Linked DNA regions of Neurospora crassa OR74A. The protein of the gene in region 1 purifies or fractionates together with the protein of each later gene. This does not show direct contact. Links are inferred from orthologs where the notes say so. Each region holds a gene or a part of one and is shown on either strand. Other genes may lie near its edges.

The links.
Region 2: the proteins of NCU09528 (region 1) and NCU03764 purify together in Saccharomyces cerevisiae (affinity purification with mass spectrometry; 3 studies listed by BioGRID). This does not show direct contact. The link is inferred for Neurospora crassa OR74A from reciprocal best matches to the Saccharomyces cerevisiae genes NOP16 and YTM1.

What each region holds. Positions count from the first base shown.
Region 1 is NC_026505.1:4,474,377-4,477,808, forward strand, and holds NCU09528 (nucleolar protein 16), read right to left. Parts: upstream 2,344-3,432; 5' UTR 2,175-2,343; coding exon 2,059-2,174; intron 1,978-2,058; coding exon 1,395-1,977; 3' UTR 649-1,394; downstream 1-648. Other genes in the region: NCU09527 (hypothetical protein), read left to right, coding at 1-300. UniProt on the Saccharomyces cerevisiae protein: Involved in the biogenesis of the 60S ribosomal subunit.
Region 2 is NC_026505.1:2,340,042-2,343,641, forward strand, and holds NCU03764 (microtubule associated protein), read left to right. Parts: upstream 1-1,394; 5' UTR 1,395-1,588; coding exon 1,589-3,052; 3' UTR 3,053-3,167; downstream 3,168-3,600. Other genes in the region: NCU03763 (DNA polymerase delta subunit 2), read right to left, coding at 1-580, 636-945, 1,011-1,060; NCU03765 (3'-5' exonuclease/helicase), read right to left, coding at 3,426-3,600. UniProt on the Saccharomyces cerevisiae protein: Component of the NOP7 complex, which is required for maturation of the 25S and 5.8S ribosomal RNAs and formation of the 60S ribosome.

The DNA.
Region 1 (3,432 bases):
CCATACCGCGGCGCCACGCCCTCGACCGATTTATCTGCTGATCCATACAACCGCGGCGTGACGCCGAGCTACCTGGGAAGCCAAACCAGTCGGTACGGCGCTAGCTCGGTGGCGCCGTCCGAGAACCCGTTCAGACAGGATAACCCGTTTGACAACGATAACGATTATCAATCCTCCGTCGGCGGCGGCAGCAGGTACGCGCCGCCTAGTGTGCATGATGGGGACTACGAGGATGAGCCATCGGCAAGGTTTCCCACTGCGCCCTACGGCCGAGTAGGAATCGAACGGGGGAATGTGTAAGAATGGGATTAAAAAAAACAGAAGGGTCGAGAATTCAAGTCAAGGGATATGGATGAGCTGGACTGATCGACTTTGGATCTGGAAGCGGATGCAATACCGGGTAGCTATACGCTGCAGCATGCTTAGGTCATGTACAAAGTGTCTTGGCTACCTGCTTTCTTTTTTTTTGTTATTGGGGGCTGGCTGGCACTAGACGAAACATTTTGGGCTTTTTCTTGTGTATGTATGTGTGTAGGCTTTGTTTTATGGGGTGTCGTTGGCGAGGCGTCACAGGTCCTTGTTGGTTTATCATGCATAGAAACGAGAGAGATATCTTCGTGCATCAACAATGAATCACAAAGCTCTCATATCGGCTTCATGGAATGCTTTGTATCTGTGTCATTCTTATTAAACTCTCCCATATTTGTGGAGATCTACGTAGAACATGATTCTAGGTGACAAACAAGATATGATACGATATATGTGGATGGCTCAATGGCCCTAATTCTTTTCATGTACTTTGAGAAACGCCTAAAACGCCCGTGGCCTTAATGAATAGTATGTATGCTGCACAAGAAATCCTGGTTCCCGTCCCATCATCCGTTTTGCTTTTGCTCATTACCGTTGAGCAAGGGAGCGCGAGCCGAAGTAGCTCCGTCACCTGTTTCTTTGCCAGTTCCCCATTCCACGAGAGGGTCGCCCCCTGAAGCGAAGTATGATGAGGCGACAGCGGGGAGAGTCTAACTGGCATTATACCAGTCTGAGAGAGAAAGAGAGACAAAGAGAGAAAGACAAAATCCGTTGCTCTCTTCTTTCGAGACCTGTCGAGCAGAGCCATCTCGGCTGAAGGATCAGCCGTGTTGGGTCGCTCTTTCTCCCTCCCGCCGACTCTCGTAGCCCAGCTTACAGGACGAGACTGGACATGGGTCCGGGCATTTGTCGCCAGGCTCCCTCATCTCTACCCTTATCTTCAGACCACAAACCGAGCTCACCGGTGATCCCAAGAACATCCCCTTGCAAGAAGCAGTCACATTCCAGTGATGATGAAGTTCACATCACACTCGCGCATGCAATTTGCCCCCTTCTTCCCCTCCCTCGTTTCTTCGTCCGCTTCTTTACTGCAACAAGCCAGCCTTCCTCAACCGCTTGGTAATGTCGCCCTTGGTCTGCTGCATCGGGTTTAACTTGATGTCGCGCACCATGGCAGCTACATCGTCGCCGTGCTTAGCCACTAGTCGCTGCAGCCATTCTAGCTCGCGCTCGCTCTGGTAGCGCACCGTCTTCTCCACAGGGCGCGACGCCTCCTCCTCGAGCATCCGGACCACCTCGGGCCGGCTGCTCTGGGCAATCATCTCCTGGCGGTCGTCGCTGATGCCGTGCCATTCGATATCATGGGTTGGGTTCTTGGGCTTGGGTTCCTCGGATTCGGAGTCGGACTCGATCTCGTTGAGCGGGTCGTTGAGCGGGTTGTCCGAGCGCAGGACCTTGACGATCTTGCCCGAGGCGTCACGCTCGACCTTGACCTCGCGGACCTCGAACAGGCCGCGATCGGCCGACTTGACGGCCAAAGGATCATCCTTGGTGATGCCGGCGTAGTTGGCGGCGGCGGACTTCTTGGCCATGCCGCCGGCGGCGGTGCCGAGCTTGGCGACGAGACCGAAGCGGGAGTAGTTTTGTGAGAGGGTCTCCTTCTTGTTCCTGTAGTACATCAATTTTTGCATGTCAGTACTGAATCTCCTCTCGAATATCTGGCAACAAAAAGAAGAGAAAGGTACTTACCAGGCCTTGGCAACGATGCCGCTGCCCTGGGGGTTCAAGACCTTCTTCTTGATGGTATGCGTCTGGACCTTGGCGCGAGACGAGCGCTTCTTGCGCTTCTGAAGTTCTCTGCCCATTGTTGCTGTGGTTTTCGGGAAGTAGGTACTATGTGGTGTTGCTGAAAGGACAGGAGTTCGACTGCCAAAAGATGCTGGGAAGAAGAAGGCGAAATGGGAGTAAACCAGCAAAGAACGATGACGGCGACAACAACAACGAAGGCGGAAGTTGACCAAAATTTCGGGGGAAACCACCCCAGAGAACTCGATTGAACTGGAACTGCAATGGCTCCTGTCCGATAAGAGAATTATAGTGGGGCTGTTGTCCCTTATCGACCTTACAGGTTGTTCGTTACTTGGCAAGCTTGGGTACGTTCCCTCAGTCCAGTCGCCAGCTGGCAAGAGGGCCGTAATAAAGATACAGTCCCTACTGCGTAAGTGTGTACCTAGGTAGTGTAAGTGGTGTATTGTATGTAAGCACGTACATAAATACCGCTTCCTCAGGTTCCGTTTCTAATCCTCTTGTATCTTGCTTGCCTTTATTGCCGTCACCAGTTCGTTCATCAACAATCCTTCTCCCAAGGGTGATGATGGCAACTTACCTAACGACTATTTCCTCGGAATTGGACCCTAACTTTCACGGCCATCATAGCCGCGGCTTCTTGTTCTGCTCGCAACTGGTGAGGCGCCAGCGGCCGCGCCAGTCACCACCTCACCATTGTCACCATGATCATTACCCATTGGAGATATGAACAGACTTGTAATCATTGCTAAATAACTAGCTACGCACTTTGCAAGTTTTCCGGTAGGGCAACTTGATTCCCGTCTCATCCCATCCCCAAAACACCCTCCATGGCCCCCGCCACTATCCATTCGACGCAGGCACGCGGGTCATGCCTGAAATTTCATTTCTTTTTTATTCAAATCCAACCCGCCTTCAAATGTCAGCCTTGTACTTCCAAAGACATTCGGTAGTATGCGACCTAACTGTTGACATGTTCATTTCAAGTGCCTCGGTCATCATCACCCTGCTACATGCCGGCCAATGCCCATCAGAGCCCGGAAGAACACTGCGCAGAATGGGAAGCCGTTCGACATACATAGGTGTACTGTAGTGGCCAGCCAATTGTCTTTCATGGTGTTCTAGACGTTTGCCTATACAAGTACCTAGACAGCGACCGAGGTCTTGCTTTTTCTTCCCCAACTCCTCTCTCTTCAAACGCCCAGCCCATAGTTCGCAGCAGAACTCAACATCTTACCCACCTCCCCCTCCTTCTTCAACCCCATCCAACCTCAATGCAACATGGAGATATTCAGAACTTGATGAGGGGGGCCATGC
Region 2 (3,600 bases), about 2.1 Mb from region 1:
ATTTTTTGATTTGTGGTTGGAACTTGTTTGTTACGGTGGTGGTGTCGAAGGCAGCCGCGGGTTTGGCCTGTTCGGCCGCCGTCGTGGAGATGGAGTTCCCCGCTATGATGAGGCGGGTGATGTGTGAGAGCTCGTCGCGTTGGACGGAGGGATCGAGCGCTTCGCCGAGGAGATACTCGAGAAGCAGGTTGAGTTCCATGGCGTAGGAGGTGTCGGCGTTGGAGAACTCGAGGCCGGAGACGAGGGCAATCTTTTTAGAGGAGGGCTTGTGGGACTGCCTGGAGAAAGAGGCGTCCATCATTTCGACGTCTTCGGAGGAGTCTGCTTCCTTTTTGCCTTTTGAGAGCGACCAGCGCTCGGGCTGTGGTGGTAGTTCGGCGAAGAGGAGGTCGATGACTTCGAATTCGCCGTTGGCGTTCTCGGTGCCCATTACCGCGACGATGCAGCCGGTCACCATGAAGTGGTTTTGCAGAGCGTTGCCGACAAGACGGATGCGGCCGGAGTCGTCTTCGAGCATTACCGAGTCTTCGCCGTTGCCGGAGTAGTAGTGGCCGACCGAGGTGGGAGCGGAGATCCAGCGCTATAACATCATTGTCAGCTGCCTGGTGTCCACCAAAGGATAGGCTGAAACTCACATCCTTGGAGACATCCTCGAGGATTGAGGGCTTTAGAGGCATGTCCATATATACTGTTCCAGCTACCCAGCATAGTTCTCCCTGGCGAACGTCTAGGACACGCTCGACCCTCTTGACCTTCTCACCACCAAGCACTGTTCCCTCCCAAGCGGCGCTGGCGGCTGCCTCGACGGCGGGCCTGATCTTTGTAAGACGCAAAAAGTAAATATCGGCATATTGTTGTTGATAGGGACGGGTTTTTTCGAGTTTGAAGGTATGAAGGGGCTTGTAGTTGGTGATCTGGCGCTGGAGAGCCTCGGGCGCATCGCCTCTTCGTGAAGTTGGGTTGTTAGCTGATGATCGCCAGTGGAAGATGGATGATCCACTGCTACTCACGAGGGCTTCTGTAGCAAACCGCTACCGAGAACTTCGTCCAAGGTGACCATCGTATGATTGATACTGACAATGGCTCAAGATGTGAGAACGACAAAAGCAATTGGTGACTTATTCATGTGCTGCCCGACTCGGAAACTGACTTCAAGGGACGAAACTCGACGACGCGCTTGACAATTTCGAGACGCGTAGCTCCAGTGGGTTCAATTAAGCCAGGTACATGACCGGTACTACTCTATACTAGTATAGTTTACATAGTAGCGGCGCTTCAGCACTGTGACCCTCACAGGAACCGTCGGCCCCGCTATAAAGTTCCGATAAGATAGGGGAACGTGGGGTAGCTAGAACACTCCAGACCCCTGCGCTGCAAGGCTGGACAGAAAAAATTGGATGGAGTCTTGGATTTGGCATGGCCTTGTGGTGTCCGCTGCAAAGTAAACATCCACACTCTCCTCCCGACGACGCCTGTTTCACGGTAATCTAAGCCAATCTGACTTTTACTTGTCAATTGATAGTATTCAGCCTGCCCATACCGAACAGCGACTACCCAATTCACATAATATCACAGCACAGGCACCGCCATGGACCACCCTACCGAATCAGGCGCCCAGGTCCGGGTGACCTTCACCACCCAGGAGGAGGACATCCAGCTCGATGAGAGCAAGCGCCAGCTCCTTGTCCCCGCCGACATCCGCCGTTATGGCCTCTCCCGTATTCTCAACTCCGAGTCCATGCTCGACACCAACTCGATCCCCTTCGACTTCCTTGTTAACGGCAGCTTCCTCCGCGGCAGTCTTGAAGAGTACCTCAACGCCAACGGCCTCTCGCTCGAAACCAACATCACCCTTCAGTACGTTCGCAGTTTGATCCCACCAACATACGAGGCCAGCTTTGAGCACGACGACTGGGTCAGCGCCGTCGATGTTCTTTCCGCTACTTCTCCCGCGGGCCGCTGGTCCGGCGACAACTTTCAGCGCGGCCAAGATCGCATCCTCTCCGCCTCGTACGACGGTCTCCTCAGGATATGGGACGCCTCTGGAAATGTGATTGGCACCTCGCCCTCGGGCAGCCACGGTGGTCACACTGCCAGCATAAAAGCTGCCAAATTCCTCTCCAGCACTCAGATTGCCTCGGCCGGCATGGACCGCACAGTTCGCGTATGGAAGTACACCGAGTCGGGCGAGTCGTACGAGCGTCGCGGCGAGCTGAAGCCCACTCTCGAACTGTACGGCCACACCTCCTCGATCGACTCGCTCGAGGTTGACGGCGCCTCGAAGCGCATCCTCACTGCCTCCGCCGACGGTTCCATCGGTTTCTGGACCACCTCCAAGGCGTCCGCGCCCGAAGTCTCCGATTCCTCGCTCCTTCCCGGCGCCCACACATCCAAGCGCCGCAAGCTCGCGACCTCCGTCACCGCCGCCCAGCGCGGCCCGCTCGCCCTTATGAACATCCACAATGCGCCCGCCACGGCCGCCGTCTTCGACCCCCGCGACCGCACCGTTGCCTACTCTGTGTCGCAGGACCATACCGTCAAGACCATCGACCTGACCACCTCCAGCGTGGTCAGCACCTTCACAACCTCGCATGCGCTCCTCTCTCTCGCTGCCCTGCCGCGCTCCTCGGCCTCGGCGCCCCTTCTCGCCTGCGGCACCTCCGCCCGACACATTACCCTCGTCGACCCGCGCACCAGCACGGCCGCGACGAGCGTCATGACGCTGCGTGGGCATGCCAACAAGGTGGTCAGTCTGGCGGCGAACCCGGAGAACGAGTACTCACTGGTTTCGGGCTCGCACGACGGGACGTGCCGGATCTGGGATTTGCGGTCGGTCCGGCCAGCGACCAAGGACGAGGGCGGCATGGGCAGCGTCAGCGAGCCCGTGTACGTTATTGATCGCGAGAGCCAGCAGGGCAAGAAGAAGAAGAGCAGTGTGACGGGCGACGGGTGCAAGGTGTTCAGCGTGGTGTGGGATCAGCTGGGCATCTTCAGCGGTGGTGAGGATAAGAAGGTGCAGATTAATAAGGGGAGGGGTGTGAATGCCGAGTAGAGGAAGAAAAATGGTCGGGAAAGAGGGGGTTGTTGATGAAGAGAAGGGAAGCAGCAGAACTTGGTTGTTATGATATACCCAGGATAGATAAAATGGAATGTGAATACTGTACAGGATATTTTTGTGATATCTGCAGGGACGAGGCCAAGAACAGCCGTGACAGATTCTTTCTGAACTAAACTGTACGCGAAAACTGTACTGACCTGGAGCATAGACTAGATGGCTTCTGCAGAGCCCAGTCAGGTTGTTCTGAGGATTATACAAGGTTCATCTACCAACGTCTAAAAGTAGCCAAGTCGGTCTCGGGGTATAGGTGCATCGTCGACATCTTTCCTTTCTTGTTCAGCACTCGACCAGCAGCTTGAGAGCCGGCTCAGTGACTTCTCGACATCTTCCTCAACCTCTCCACCTCTTCCTCATCAACCGTCGCTTGACTGCTGCTATTGCCCAGCGTCAACTCCTCATCAAAGTCCAAATCCCCAGCCTCCAACGCAGCCTTCATCACATCCTCCACGCTCTCTTCCTTCGGCTTTACCTCCACCTCTGCC